Linked DNA regions of Drosophila melanogaster. The protein of the gene in region 1 interacts with the protein of each later gene in a pairwise test. Each region holds a gene or a part of one and is shown in the gene's direction. Other genes may lie near its edges.

What was found.
Region 2: the proteins of CG4301 (region 1) and CG10814 interact in a two-hybrid assay, tested with the Drosophila melanogaster proteins (one large-scale study listed by BioGRID).

The regions. Positions count from the first base shown.
Region 1 is NC_004354.4:16,404,766-16,415,177, forward strand, and holds CG4301 (uncharacterized protein), read left to right. Parts: upstream 1-3,543; 5' UTR 3,544-4,312; coding exon 4,313-4,444; intron 4,445-5,017; coding exon 5,018-5,225; intron 5,226-5,306; coding exon 5,307-5,432; intron 5,433-5,552; coding exon 5,553-6,099; intron 6,100-6,176; coding exon 6,177-6,591; coding exon of another isoform or gene 6,592-6,657; coding exon 6,658-7,406; intron 7,407-7,470; coding exon 7,471-7,967; intron 7,968-8,050; coding exon 8,051-8,864; intron 8,865-8,928; coding exon 8,929-9,255; intron 9,256-9,321; coding exon 9,322-9,535; 3' UTR 9,536-9,638; downstream 9,639-10,412.
Region 2 is NT_033778.4:13,374,076-13,380,494, reverse strand, and holds CG10814 (uncharacterized protein), read left to right. Parts: upstream 1-2,763; 5' UTR 2,764-2,806; coding exon 2,807-3,699; intron 3,700-3,998; coding exon 3,999-4,314; 3' UTR 4,315-4,520; downstream 4,521-6,419.

The DNA.
Region 1 (10,412 bases):
TCTCCTCCGTAATGGTAGCTTACACCAAAATGCAAAAATGCAACATAGATAGGATTATTATATTTGACTTCCTTTCTTTTCTTATCGTATAGTCTTCATACCATTCGCGAATAGTTTACCATTGACTCATGTCGAAGCCCGTTATAAGTTTCATCGGTCATGGAACATTCGCTTTTGGGATAAGTGAGTCAATGTGGAAGTTGCACGATTTTAGATAGGCTTGTCCGTAAGCCCCGACGGATATGTAATGTGTTCGTGTGTGAAGTCCGTTCAATGCGTTCAATGTTGAGCGATAAGATTGTTGTTATCGACATTATCTCTTCTACAAAACCGCTGGCTTATTCGCTCGCGAGAGCGAAAAAAACAAAATCTATATTAAAAAATAAACAAAAAATGAGCTAAGAGAGTAGCTCTGAGGATCGTATGGCCCAGCATGGTACTACCAACTATTAAAGAGTGCCAATGCACTGACTATGAACGCATTTAGGAATATGTATCTAAATGTTGGTAAAACCCCGGCCTGGGTGCGATATGGGTACGGTATGGGTTTGGCTATGGGAATAAATAATGGCGTATATATGCACACATATATATATTTATATATATACATATATATAATATACATGAACATGCATGGAAAGGTCCGCCAGGCTAGCCCATGTGAATGGCGACTTTGTTCGTGGTATCGGTATCAACAATTCTTCGACAGTTTGCCAATAGATCAGTTTGCGCGTGGAAGGTCTCTCTTTCCTTTCGATTCTGTGTACAATAATCTATATGTATAGTATATATACAAAAGTCTATATATATTATATCTGTGATCCATAAGCGGTCTTGTACATACATATATTTTATTTCGCCCGCAAAGCTCGCTGTTTGTTTACCCGTTTGTTTGGCCAGAGGACTTCCGGTGCAAAACGACTCAGCACTACAACTCTTCAAACTCAAATTAATCGCCAGAAAAATGGTAGGTTTGACCATCGCTCAGATATTTCAACTAAGAAAACATTCTGGCATTCGAATATTTTTACATTCTGCAACAAATTAGCATAGCTTCATGGGTTTTGAAGAATCGTGTGTGTGTGTGTGTGTGTGCGAAAAGATTATGTTTTAATATTTAAAAAAAAAACCAACTATTCAATTTACAAAACTATCTCAAAGACCTACGACTTAAGACTTAATACGCCAATTAAATTGTGAAATACAAGGTGGTCGTGTAAAGCTATCGTTCTCCACTACATATGGCCTTTAAAGTGATAAAGCTTTGTGATAAAAGAACTGCCCCTGGATGTCGTCGATATCCGTATCTCTCTTATCGAAATTTATGGACCGTAAAATGACGAGAAGATGTTGAATTTGGATAGAATTTAACCACGATCATGGTGACGAACGGCTGGATGGATATACGTATATATATCTTACGCTCTGCACTACAGTGAACCCAACCCAAGTGGGAAACATGCCATCCAAATGTCGCTCCAAATGTATCCCGGGCACGGTGCCGATTAGTCAGCTGATGTGCTCGCCACCTAGATATACGTACTCATAATCTTATCAGTTTTTTGGCAGTCTACATATAGGCGGTTAGATATGGGTGGGTCTCGCTGCTCCGGAAAGCTTCAATACTGGCTGCTCCAAGAAGAGAATGTACACTGGGTGAGGATATGGGAGGGACTATGGACCCGGTGCTCTTGCACGGATCTCAGTTAATCAGTTGAGCAAGTACGTCTTGGCAGACGGTGGCTCTCATGAGCACGTGCACGTTGTTCGCTGTTAACTGAAAGCAAAAGACTCGAATGCATTGCACTCCCTAAACATCTATCATCTGATAGCCAATAATAGCGTGTTGCGTACCATTATAACAATAACAACGCACCGAGTGCAACAATCATGTTAACTCGATGGAACACTACTTTCAAACACCTCGGAGAGGATTGGTCTATCCTGAACGAGAGTGTGCGAGCTTCGGCAATTGGAAATTGATCGGAAATAACTTACTCATCGGAATCTAGCGAAGAGATTACCTGGCTAGTCGGCTATTGGTTTCAAAAAAAAAAACAAAAAAAAAAAAGTAAAGACGAAAAAAAAAAAACTGTTATTACCGATAAGCAATACGACGAATTCGTGGTAACGAAGTATTTTAGAGAGATACCAAAATCGGTCAGTTTTAGTCAGTTATGCTATTGTTTCGCGTCGGTGCCACATTGTCCCCAATACCTCTCAACAATTGTTAATGAACCTCGTGAGGATTGAAGCCCCAGCGCAGTGGATAAAGTCAAGGGATCATCATGGGCAAGTTCTTCGAGAGATTGTTTCAGAAAAGGGTGAGTCCACAGCTCGATGTTGTGTAATATCAACAGCAAAAAAAAAACAGTGAACATAAGGTTTTCTTCAGTACATGTACATACGTGTGTGAGTGTGTCTCCAAATCCATCAGTGAATTTCTATATATTAGATAAGCCTCAGCTATAAAGCAACGTCGTTTGTCGATATGCGAGTGTGAAAAATAGATAGCGTCGCTTAGATAAAGTGGATTGCAACTTTATAATCTTGGATCTCCATCGCACGATTCTTTTGGCTGGCTTGGAAATCCCGAGTTTTTCCAATTGGTTTTTAATCTCCACCAATGGTTGGGTTTTTCAAAATATTTGGGTTTTTTTTTTGGTTTTCTTTTCCTAAGTTGACTGATCGACATTTACATGTGACAACGTGTGAGTCAGTCTTTATTTAGCGCTGTTATAATATTTAAACAATTTATGGTAAAGCTAATGTTTTTCAAATGCAAATCTCTGAAAAGTGCCCAAGAGAGTTTTCATGAACAGTTTGGCTATGTTTAATAGAAAACTGCTATTATTAAGCATAAGCATATGTGAACGTGAAATGTTTATAAATTAAAATTGGCGTCGTTTTAAAATAGAATTAAAGATTCATTGTGGCTCCGAGAAATTGATCAGTACTAAAGTACTTCATTTACTAATTTTGTAATCTATTAGCATGGAACTTTTAAATAGAATTCTTTTCTTTTTTTTTTGCTTTAAAGATAAACAATTGCTTTCAAAACTGAACTTCCTTTTGCAAAAAAACATATGTTGAGTGAAAGCTTTTTAATGAGAAAGTCAGTGCAAGTTCTTAAGCAATTGAATTTTATGAGATTTGATTTGAGTGGGGGACGTCATCGAATTGACAATACGCCAAATTAACTATGCACTTTGAACCTATTAGTTGCCGAATGTCTGAATTTCTTCATGTGTCGCCGCGGTGTACATCGCAAACTTGAACTGGCGACGTCAATAAGTTTTTGAGCTTTTTATTGGATGCCCGAAGCTGAATGTGAAGCTGCGGCCGTACGACCGATTTTTGAAGCTGTGAATGGGAATGGGAATGGGTATGGATACGGGTATGGGTACGGGCATGGGTACGGGCATGGGTATAGGTATGGCATCCGAATTGCCATAGAAATGCAGATCGAATTCTCAGTGTGAGAACGGCTTTGCACTGGCGCACATCACGCGGCTCTCTCGCGATCCATTAGATATTAGGCTACGCATAGATGTATCCCGGAAGGATATTATTGAATGATGTGATATAGACTAGATATTGCGGTGTGTGAAATACATTTGGATATTATCTACATATGTAAATTCATATGCAAATACGCACTGATATATAGTACAAATCTATAAAAAAAATCGTTGTGCCTATGTGGATTCCAATGTGCACCATAGAACTGTTCAATTGAAGTGTTAAAATTGCCCACTTAACATCGTTTTAAGGTTATACACTTAAGTGTGCTGAGAAAAAGTCGATAAATATACAAATGGTTGTATGTGCATTAGGGTGGACCGTATTCGAGTGCTTAAAATTATTGGCCACGCTGTAATAGTGATTAAACTCCATTAGCACATCGTTTCAAACATTCGTTTAATAGTTAGATAGCTGGACTATCAAAAAACATTCATAAAAACGTACTTTACAAAGGTCCGGTCCATTGTGCATACAAGACCTATGTACATATGTATGTATGTATGTATGTATGTGCGACCATTCGGTCGATGAATAAACAATAATTAACAATAGCCAAATAACGAGTGACCGCATAAACACAAGCAGGTGTTTGAAAATGTGATTGCCCCACAACACGAGAATTGTCGTACATAAAAATAAAAAAAATAAAAAGAAAAGGAAAACTGTTTTCCATTGTCCGGAAAAATCAACTACCGGCTTGAGTCTGAGGATAAAGCTTTCTGAGCGATGATCGGGCGCGTCCGTGGTCACACCGCTACCAAATGCGCCAATTCTGGAATGATGAACAATGAATTTCTTTGGCCATGACCATCTGAGCGGATTTCGACGCATAGATCGCCTGGGAGCCCATCGCCAGACACCGTGGGCAGATCAGGAGTCCTTTCATCTGAAAGACGCATTTTTATGGAATTGGCATAAGGTGTGTGTTGGGCTTGGGATTTTGGTAAACGATTTTTAGTACACAGGTAGTGCCTATTTTTCACTATTTGAAGAAAGTCAGCAGTTAGAATTCTTTGGTATAAGATTACATCTGGCTTATGTGGCGTATGCGTGATATTTGTTTAGGTTGCAAAGCGATTGCGCAAGCTACTTACCAACCACCAAGTTTAATACATATTTATGCTGTTATTTTTTCACTTTTGTTGGTGAAGTTTATCTCTGAAAAATTGAATATTAGGTGAATCTTTTCAAACTACACTTTAATAGAAAATTTGCTTAGTTATGCGCTTTTCTATCGATCATTTTAGCTATTACTTGCCATATAAACAACTTGATGGACATTCTTCTGCCGAAAAAAAGTTAATTAATCTTAATAGTAAACATTTGGCGGACTTTAAAAAACAATGCCAATAGACAGTGACCAAAAAAGGACGCTGATTCATAAGCCAAACAAAAAAATACGCTGATAATTCGAGTTCTTATCACTAGATGTCTACCATTTGTTGTTCAATCAACGTATTCCGATGGCCTTGTCATTTATTTTATCTTCCAGGGCTCCAGAGTTAGTACAATAAATGATTGGCTGCAAATACAAATCGGTGGCCCCCAGGATATCAAAAAGAAAAGACCAAAGGGCCAGAATCGCATCAAGTCCACCAAATATACACTTATCACATTCCTGCCACAAAATCTTCTGGAGCAATTTCGCCGGATTGCGAATTTCTACTTCCTGGTGATGACAATTATATCACTTTTAATTGGTAAATATGGAAATATAACAACATTTTCATAATAATATATAATTCTTAATAAATATTTATTTATCTTTAATCTATTCGCAGATAGTCCAGTGTCCCCGATGACCTCACTTTTACCACTGGTATTTGTAATTGCTGTGACCGCCGCTAAGCAAGGATATGAAGATATCCTGCGGTATAGAACCGATAATGTGGTCAACTCCTCGCCAGGTGGGTGAAAGAAAGTAAACTTTCGAAAGTGAATTCTTCATTGGGAAATTTGAAAAGTTTTCTTGCCACAAATTCAATTCAATTTATATCAATTAATGAATATTTATTTTACAACTTTAGTTACTGTCATCCGCGATGGCAAGGAGGCGATAATTAAGTCGCAGGACGTGATTCCCGGCGAACTGATCGTCGTGGAGCGGGACTGCGATGTGCCGTGCGATCTGGTGCTGCTGCGATCCACCGATCCGCACGGCAAGTGTTTCATCACCACGGCGAACTTGGACGGAGAGTCCAACCTGAAGACGCTGATGGTGCCGCGCGACCTGCCCACCGTCGACCTGCCGGAGATGCACAAACTGGGCATTATCGAGTGCGAGAGCCCCACCACCGATCTGTACAGCTTCAATGGCAAGATCGAGCTGAAGGGCGGCGAGGGTCGGGTGCTTCCGCTGTCCACCGAGAATGTCCTGCTGCGCGGATCGCGGGTGAAGAACACGGAATGCGTCATCGGTTGCGCCGTCTACACGGGCATGATCTCCAAGCTGCAGCTGAACAGCCGGCTCACCAGGAACAAAAACGCCTCCAGCGAGACGTACATCAATCGCTTTTTGATTGTCATCCTGGTCGCCCTGATCGCCATCGTCACTCTGCTCTACTTCCTGAAGAGGTAAGTTCATCTTGGACTACATACATATATATTCTTCAATTGGGTTAATATACAACCTACTCGTATTTGATCCGCAGGTACAATGAACTATTTGTGATACCCAAGCTGACCTATCTGGGGGATGCGACGGATAGCTACAGTGTGAAGCAATTCCTGCAGGACTACCTGTCGTTCCTGATCCTCTTCAACTACCTAATACCCATCTCCCTCTACGTGACCATCGAGCTGCAGCGCGTCATCGGCAGTTGGTTCATGGAGTGGGACCTTGAGCTTTACGAGAATGAGACCGATCAGCCGTGCGTGGTCAACACATCCAATCTGAACGAAGAACTGGGCCAGATCAATATACTGTTCTCGGATAAGACGGGCACGCTGACCAAGAACGAGATGAACTTCCAGCAGTGCTCGATAAATGGTAACAAGTTCCTCTTTAAAAAGACGCGGCTGGAGGATGAGGAGACCAAGGCACTACTGGACATCAATAAGTTTTCCGTGAGTCTTTTCCATCGCTATAGCTTAAGTGGCGTTCCCAAATCTGTCTGTCGTTTGTCCTTGCAGGCCAATCAGCGCGTCTTCTTCCAGGCCTTGTCCATATGCCACACCGTTCAGGTGGCCTCCGGATCTCTGGAACAGGCGGATGCGGGCACTGCCAAACGGGAGCCAGTGACGGCGATTAAGTCGGGTCCGCCGGAGATGTACTCCATTTCGGACATCACCGAGGAGAGCCACAATGCTAGTCAGCAGAGCGAGCTAAATGTGGGCCACACCATTGATAACTCGGTGTCGGCTCATCCCAATGGGGTCAACTCAACGATCATTTCGTCCGATGTTAATCCCTTATTGGTTTCCGACGACGGCTATGGCGTGGAGCGTCGCAAGCGTCCGGTGGTTATCAAGAGGAGTCCCAACTTTGCGCGCTCCAATCGGATGAACAATGGTGCCGCCAGCGATCTGAATATCAATCAGACTGACCCTAATACGGTCACGAACGGAGTGGAGCCCACAACAAACTTTCGACCCATTTCGCTGCAATTCAGACGGTCTACCTCAGAGAAGGATCTGCAACAGTCCTGGGAAGCGCCCAGTGGTCAGGCGCCGGGTCACCGAAGGGCGCACTCATATGGCGCGCCCAATGCCTACCTCACAAATCCGGTTACGGCCAGCACCCCGCCCGCAGGTGTGCTCTTTCGATCGCCGAGCACCACTTCTCGGGAATCCTATGCCGCGCCCACCTTCACCCGACAGCCCACCATTCTGGTGCGGGCTGAATCACAGCGCCGAAAGAACGAAATCCGGGACTTTATATTGTAAGCGGATTCAAGAAAATCCAAAATTTGAAGAAGCATCTCAATTTCACATCTCTTTCAACAGCACCTTGGACTATCAGGCCTCCAGTCCGGATGAGAAGGCATTGGTGGAGGCGTGCGCCAATTTGGGCATGGTCTACACCGGAGACGATGACGAAACGCTGCGCGTGCGCATCGTCCCGCCCCACATGGACTACAAGCGACCGTTCGCCAAGCCCAGGGAAGAGACCTTCCAGCGCCTCCATGTCCTGGAGTTTACGTCGGATCGCAAGCGCATGAGCGTGATTGTCCGGGATACGGATGGCAAGAAGTGGATCTACACAAAGGGTGCCGAGAGCTATGTCTTTCCACTGTGCGCCAACAGTTCAGCCGAGCTGGTCACAAAGACGGACGCTCATATAAGTGATTTCGCACGACTAGGATTACGTACATTGGCTATTGCCAGGAGGCTAATTAGCGAGGAGGAGTACCAGGACTTCCTTGTGGAGCTGGCACAGGCGAACAGCTCACTTGAGAATCGAAAGCAGCTCAGCGAGGAGTGTTATGCTAAAATTGAAAGCAGTGAGTACTAGTGACATTCCACATAAGTCCATGGTGCCCCACGTTGGGCGCCAACAACTTATGCATTTCTGTTCTTTGCACAGATCTTGATTTGCTCGGTGCAACAGCTGTGGAGGATGCCCTGCAGGACGACGTGGCCGATACGTTGGTATCTCTGCAGGCGGCTGGCATTAAAATCTGGGTGCTAACGGGCGATAAGGTGGAGACAGCCCTGAATATAGCCCTGTCCTGCGGACACATTCCACCCGATGCCAAGAAGTACTTCATTATGGAGTGCAAGAATAGAGAGGAGATGCTCCTGCATCTGAACGCACTTGATCGTGAGATCATCTTCGGTATTGGCCAGGAGTGCGCTCTTCTCATTGACGGCAAGAGCTTGGGCGTGGCCCTGGCAGAGGCCAGCTCGGAGTTCCGGGATGTGGCTGTCAAGTGTACGGCCGTTCTGTGCTGCCGCCTTAGTCCGCTGCAGAAAAGCGAAGTGGTGTCATTGATCAAGTCATCCAATGAGAACTACAACACGGCCTCCATTGGCGATGGCGCCAATGATGTGTCGATGATCCAGGAGGCTCACGTGGGCATCGGCATCATGGGACGCGAGGGCAGGCAGGCGGCACGATGCGCCGATTTTGCCTTCGCCAAGTTTTGCATGCTCAAGAGATTGCTTCTCGTCCATGGACACTATCACAGTGTCCGACTGTCCCTGCTGGTGCTGTACTTCTTCTACAAGAACATCGTCTTTATGGGCATCATGTTCCTGTTCCAGTTTCACACGCTGTTCTCCTCATCCTCCGTCTACGATTCGCTATTCCTTACCTTGTACAATGTGATATACACCTCGCTGCCCATTTTGTTCATAGCTATCTCCGAGAAGCCATACACCGAGGAGAAGTTGATGAGGTAACAGTGGGTTCAATCGTTTATATGTATAATGTTGATGTTACTAAAAATGCAACTTGAACAGAACGCCACAGCTTTACAAGAAGAACACGGACAACAAGCAGCTCCACTGGCCGTACTTCCTGATGTGGGTCCTATTTGCGATCTACCACAGTGTCATCATATTCTACTTCGCCTTCTGCTTCTTCTACTACAACAACGTTCTCCTGAACTACGGACAGACGGTGGCCTTCTCCTGCTTCGGCACCCTCCTCATGTGGACGGTGGTGGTGGTCGTGAACCTTAAGCTCTGGCTCGAGTCAATGTATCTGTCCTTTTGGTATATATTCACCATTATCATTTCCATTTTGGGCTTTGTAGTCACAACGGTTATCTACAACGTTATCAATCTGTGAGTTCATGGCTACGAATGTATCCATTTAAGGTTTAAACTAATATGTATATGTATTATTTGCAGGGACTACGACACCGACATCTACTGGGCCTACAACAATCTGTTGGCCTCACTGCCAGTCTGGCTGTGGATCATAGTGACCTGTGTGGCCTGCCTGGTACCCGACTATACCATCCGAATGCTCCAGAGGGCGCTCAACATAAAGAGTTTCAGCATTTTTCCCGGAAAACAACGGAAACTTAAGATGCGCGAGAAGTTTGAGTCCACATACTTGTAATCGTCGATTAGGCTATAGTTTTTATACCCCTAATTTATTTATTTCCTCATGTATACAATTTTTTTTTTTTTTGTTAGATAAACAAATTTTTGTTAAACGTTTGAACAATAGATTTGATTTCTGACCACCACCTTAGAGGTAGGAAAGTATCTCAACTTCCCAAATGGAGAACCTTGAAATCGTATGCTAACACTCGCAATCAACTGGGAAGTACGACATTTTAGGCTGATAACATTTTTATCATAATCTCGGCGACTTATTGAGAGCAAGTGCAACTACACTTGGAAAAATGGTTCGTTTACGAAAATGCTGGGTTTCAATACAGCTACACGATACAAACATCTAATTAATAAAGGATTTATTTAATATTTTTCCTACATCGGATATTGTTTAAAAATATATACGAAAGTATATAGCCCGTTTTTATCACAGTTTAGCCGTTGCCCCACTTTTGATACCATAAAGTAGGGCGGCGAGTCAGTAAATGTACTTCAATCCCGATCCACATATGTGTACGTAGGGCACCTGTTGGTTCGGCCATACCCACTGCCACGCCCACGATCACTGCCGCCCACCACATTGTTATCTAGTTGATGGCGTCGTTACCATTTGCATTGCCGAGGCAATGGACAAAGTTTTGATTGTGAAGCCCGTTTTTCATTGATAATGTTATCTCCACTCGCATTCCGAATATGTTTGTACAAGGGGAGCTAGAGATATGAACATTTTGCAGGTACATATGTGGCCATATAGTCGCTGGAAGATCTGGTGACGGTTACGATTTTAGTGGATTCTCGGTGGCTGTGTTTTCCTGGTCGTAGTTCGCCAAGTTAGTGGTCAATACGATTCGTTGGTTGCTCTCGCATTTCGAAATAGT
Region 2 (6,419 bases), on another chromosome or scaffold:
AGACAGACAGACGGACGGATGGATGGCTGGCTTGACAAGCTCGGACGCGTTTAAAGTGCAATTAGCGCACGTAATTGTAATCGGGTTGGCCAGGTGGCACCACCTGCCACAGCCCAACCACTTCCGGAAGGCGGTGACTCCGGCTTGCGGCTCCACCTTGCGTCTGCCAGCCCACGGGGTTGGGCATTTTCATTTTTTGTTGCTATTTCGTTTTGGCTGCCTTTTTTTTAAAGGCAACCAGGGAGCTGTAAATAAATTTGGCACTTAATCATATTTACGGATTTCGTGGGCACATTTATTTATGTGTCCCACAGTGGCCGCAGCTACTTACTGCACTTTGCCAGCAAGCATAGTGATTTTTTCCGAGGGCTAAGGATTTCTTCAGCCGGATGGAAACACAATACGGCCAAGTCCAATTTGGGGCCCATTCTCAAGAGTAGAGTCGGACCTGGGCTTTATGCCTAATTATGCGTTCCGCTGGCATTGTCATGGATAGCCGAAAATCCGAAATCCAAAATCCTCGCCGCCCACGAGGCTAATTAGGCCCATAGCGTTGGCCATTGTGCCAAACCGTTAGACGGGCGTATTGTTAACTCGAATCCACACCACCACGACTCATCATCAGCCACGGGGTTCACTCACCTGTTCACATCCGCTTTTTCTGGCTTTATGAATATTTCAGGCATTTAAGCCTTGGAACTGATTTATTTGCAATTTGATGGCCAGCGAAATAAATAAACCAATTTCGGTTTTCGGCCATGTTTCGCTGGATATGTTGCGGTCGCTGCGGGTTTTGTTTAATTTTCGTAAGTGTTGTACTCGATGTTTATGCATAATTTGCGGTATGTTTTGATCGGTTGCGAAGTAAACCGATAACACGGATTTGCCTGTTTTGAAATGTTATTAAAAAATAACAAATAAAAACAGACTTATTCGGATCGCTGCTTTTCAAAATAAACACTTTGAGTGAATCTACCTTTTTTTTTTCTCCGAGAAATTCATTACTCTGTCTCATCGCTCATTTCATCGATATTTGTCACTATTGTTGTGCCTGATTATTGTTAAGTGCAGGTGGGCTGGCGAAATGGAGCTGCGCGGCGAATGGGGAAAAACTGTCACTTGAATGCATTTTCATTACACCTCATTACATTTCACTTGCATCTGCAATTGTGTCATGTCGCCGGCTTTCGCTGCCGCTGCCTTCGAGCCTATGAATACGGGAATACTCGCAATGAAAACTGCCGAGCGAATGGATTCGTTAGCTGAATGGGCTGTGAGTGTTTTTAATTGAAAACAATAAAGTTCTGCTGGGGGAAACTGGGACTCCTTCCAAACAATGCATGAAATGTAGACGCTGCATCGTGCTGCATACCGCATTTCTAATGCTCTTCAAGTTTCTTAGAATCTGCTGTAGGCCTAGTACTAATATAATAAAGTTATCACAACAAGATATATAATTTTTTACAATACTTTCTTAAAAATATACATTAAAACCAATCCATTGAAACGTTCTACCTTTATTCAAGCTATATCTTCTCATAACTTGTTGGCAATGTATCTGCGATACCTTATATCTTACATTTAAGATACATTTACTCGCTGAGAAGAATCTCAGCTAAAAGCTGAGCATTCGATGGATTGTTCCACTCGCATTCTTTGTTTCGGGGAGAAATGCAAATGGAAGTGGAAATGGTGGAAATGGCGGTTATAGAGCCGCCGTAGATGGATAGATACGAGTCGTATTCGCGCCAGACAATACACTCGAATACAAAATGCGAATGCGAATGCGAATGCGAAAGTGATAATTAAAAATCGCGCCATATATACTGGTTACCAGATATGCTTGTTGCCGGCCGATTCTCTGCTCGTTGTTGTTTTCCCCGGCATGAAATGGTTATTGTTTATGATTTTCCAACGCTGTCGAGCAGGATGTTCGCATTGCAATCACCACTGGTTTGAGTGAAACAATCGATGTGGGTGTGGCATGTGAGCATGTGAATGAAGTGATCAATGCGCCTAACAATGATTGACGCCACTTCCCGCGACCAGGGGCGTCGCCGTGGCATGGGGGGAGGCGCCATGAAAGGGCTGTCGAAGATGGCGCGCTTTTCCACAGCCACGCCCCTTTCCAGCTCGACTGCAGCTGGCAAACAATTATGCAAAATCGCTGGCGTTAGCAGTTTTATGCAGAAATTAATTTTGCATTTTTAATTTTACAGCTCCAGTGGCGGGCGGGGGCTTTAAGCAAGGGGAGCCCAGCTAAAAACAAGAAAAAAAAAAACGCTGCGACAGCAATCTGCACTGCTCACAAAGGATTGATAAGGGTTAGACTTGGATGGTCGAACACTTAAAGAAAAAAAAAGCGAGTTTCTAGATATCTATATTTATGCAATAAGTTACAAATATCAAAGTATTCACATAAATTAGTATGTATTTAGGAAAATATATTCTAAACAGTATGTCTACATACAATATATCTAAAGTATATCATCTAAGGGATAACATATATAATAGTATAATAAATTGGATCAGGTGATAATATGATATTCGAACATATTACGCAAGGCTTCTTGTCATTTCTCAGCTAATTCTTAAATATCAAACAGCAAATATAAGCAAACAGCTTAAAAACTTAGAAAAATATAGTACGTACTTCCTTTTTTTAAGTGTAGCTATGTAAACATCACGCGTTATTTAATCTGGTCCATCAATTTGGCCACGTACCCCTGAGCGTGGGCTTCTTGCTCACCGCCCTAATCAGGCACATCATTCCGCAATCGGAAGACATAGTGGTAGGTTGCTCAAGATGTTCCAAGCGGACCGCCGAGATTTGCCCAGCCAACCGCTTAAGTTGGCTCTGCCAAAGGAGCAGGATCAGTCGCGCCTGGTTCAGGTTCCCGATCCTGATCGTCGGGACATGCAGTTTCCAGACATTTGGCTGCGCGATAATTGCCGCTGCGAGGAGTGCTATCTGCCACAGACACTGAGTAGATTGCCCCAGCTGTGGAACCATCTGGACACCAGTGTGCGGGTCCTGCGGCAGAGCGTGGACGTGGACCAGAGGGTCCTGTGTATAGAGTGGTCCGATGGACATACCTCCCAGTATCCGTTCAGTTGGCTGAGGGAGCGGGACTTCTCATACGCGAATCGCCAGCGTTACCTGCGTGACTTTTACCGCCCGGAGCAGAAGTTGTGGAGCGGTCTGGACTTTGAGAAAATCCGTCAGGTGTTCTACTACCAAGAACTGCTCGATTGCGATTCGGCGTTGCAGCAATGGCTCCAGCATCTGGCAGTTTACGGAGTGGCCATGGTCAAGGAAGCCCCTCTCGATATGGACGTCCTTCGGAGATTGTCCAACCGAGTGGGCTTCATGAGGCGCACCACCTATGGAGAGGAGTTCAGTGTTCGGGCTCAGCCTGGAGGCAGCAACTACGCCTACTTGGCCGCACCACTCCCGCTACACACGGATATGCCCTACTTTGAGTACCTGCCCGGAGTGACCATGTTGCACACCTTGGAGCAGTCCGCGTCGCCCGGGGGTGTCAATCTGCTGGCCGATGCCTTCTATGTGGCGGAGGTGATGAGGGAACGCTATCCGGAGCAGTTCCGGGTTCTTTGCCAGACTCCCGTGGACTGGGCGGACATCGGAAGCGACGGCGATCTGCAGTTTCACAATATCTGGAGGGCACCGGTCATCAAGTGAGTAGATTTAGATTGGGAGTCCAGTAAAGGAGATTTATATTGATGGAGTTCCTTTGATTGCTTAGGGCGACTTAAGAATACATTTAGGTGCAGTCAGACTATAAAAATGCTTATTTTGAGTTCATATTTTTCAAGCAAATTCTGCACTTTTAAAATCTATTTTTCTCGCAACTTGAAATGTTTCAGTTATCTTGAAAAATATTTCAGATATTTTTAGGTGGAGGTAACAATTTGTTGACGAGGGGAAATGCATAGTTGCCCCAGCAGAACTTGGCTAACATTTCGATCTCTTGCAGCTTGGACGCGGAGGGCCGGTGTGTGCGCATCAACCACAGCATTCCGCAGCGCGACAGCCACTTTAGCGTGCCGGTGGAGCAGGTGCGTCCGTGGTACGAGGCGATGGCCACCTTTGTGGGCCTGGCCCACGAGCACTCCTGCAGATTCAAGACCACGCCCGGCGACGTGCTCACGTTCGACAATTTGCGCCTGGTCCACGGACGTACCGGGTACGACGACACGGACCGCAATGTGCGCCACATTCTGGGCGCCTTCGTTGACTGGGACATTGTGTACTCGCGCCTGAGGGTCCTGCGGAATGCCAAAGCCACCTGATGCTCCTTAGATAGCAGGAGCAGCAAGCACATGTTATGTTATGGCTACATTAATTAGCCATCTATCAATGCCAAAATGCTTTGATTGACATCGCAATGTGGTAGCAATAGACAGAGTAGAATCATTAGATTACTTTCGAATTTATTGTGCTCGAGAAATTAAACCATTTATTGACATTTTGAATAAATACTATTTTAATGGTTTCTAATCCTTTGACACGCTTCAATGCTAATTGACATTATTTAATTGGGTTAAACGTGTGATTTAAGGCATTTTGAAGAGGAAGAAGAAGTCACTCGAGAAGTTTACTAATCTGTTAAACGTGAACATCTCTGGCTGATAAGTAATTCTATTAGTTTCGCTACCCTGTAAGAAAGTGACATAGGAATATTAGACTATACGCTGATATTCAAAACTATAAAATGTATTATTCATTCGTAAATATATAGGTAGAATTTTGGAGACTACTATAAGTATTCAATTCAACAAAAATTGGAAAATATTAATTTAATTTAAAATGGTAAGAGTATAAATTGCTTCATGAGCAATATTAGATAACCTAACCTAAATTACAGGGTATGCAGGCAAATCCGTGATTCAACAACTGCTAGCCAAACAGGCCACTGGAAGTGAAAGTCCAGCACACGTCATTGTTTACGCCGGGCAACAAAGTGGCTTATCAGTGGCCAGTTGAGTCAAATTTCAACCAGTATGTCCATATATATGTATATGTACAATAGGTATATATTTCTATTATCAATTTATGGCAATGCCCAGATCAACACCGACTTGGCAGAGCTCTTAGCTCTTGGCATGCGAGTAAATCACACCCACACACCTTCATGATTTTCATTGGACTGGGAAAACTTGGCTGGAATGTCGGGGTGTTTTCCCTTCGCTTTTCTTTTCGGGTGTTTGGGTGCGGTGTCCCGCAGGCAAATCCTTTGGAAATCTTTTTATTTATGTCATTGATGCCACCAGGACCAAGTGAGGTAGCAGAGGAAGCAACCCGGCATCCGACAGCCAGCAGCCGGAATCCGAAATCCGAGTTGGAGCACATGAATTTGTACATGGCATCGGGTAAATCCCTCTAATAATCCACATAATAAGCACTGGAAGTAGCTGTGGCAGCAACAGGCCGAAAGGGTTGTGCCCCGTTTCCCTTGTTTATAAGTTCATAAAAGTCAACGGGCCGGGAACTTCGAATGGGAGACGATTGGGGAGGGGGCAGGCCATAAAAAACGAGCCAAATGCAAGCGGAAAATGCCCAAGAAGAAAGAAAGGCAACCAGTCGCAAATCCAATTTCTTCGGAATGTGTGCGAGTTTTCGGGGTAGTTGAAATTTTACTGCAGTTTCCAGCCAGACCGTGCAGCAGTCATAATGTGTAATTGAAAACCTGCTCTGAATCGCACCCCTGGGTGGTGTACCATATACCTCTTACCGACTTAAAAGGATACCCCTAATTGGCCAAATGGTCAACCAAGACAGGAAGTGTGTGAAATTCTCAGGTATCTTGATGTCATTTAGAAAATAATAACCTAAAATGTACGAACCTTTATAAAGAGGTAAAATAATTATATTACAAATGAAACAAAACTACGGTTATGTTGCTTATGTTAAACGCAAGAAATCAGTCTTGTGATTGAAGACAAGCCTAAAACTTGACGAAATATTAAATTATATACTCCATATTTGAAGTTCAGTGCACTTATTTTACTTTGTAATTGAAAACTTCAATCTCCATAATTCGTTTAGAAAACACACATCCTTGACCCGCGTTGTGTCCTTATCTACATTTTTCCGATCTGCCATGAAAATGAGACCCAATTTGCAACCATATGCATGATCATAATGACCCCCATATTATATGTTTTTTTTTTTTTGGCTAAAGCAACAGCATTTGGGAATATTTCAATGGCAGAGAAAGGGTTTGCCAGCATGACACTCGCACAATCGCCAAACTAATACGCTTACATACGATTTCCACAATTTCCGCCGCGGCTTCTTGGCCGCCATCCTATTCCTATTGGGATTGCGGTCGGGTTTGTGTGCCAAGATTTTGGCCAGGACAATGCCAAGTTTGGGCTGTCACAATGATAAACAT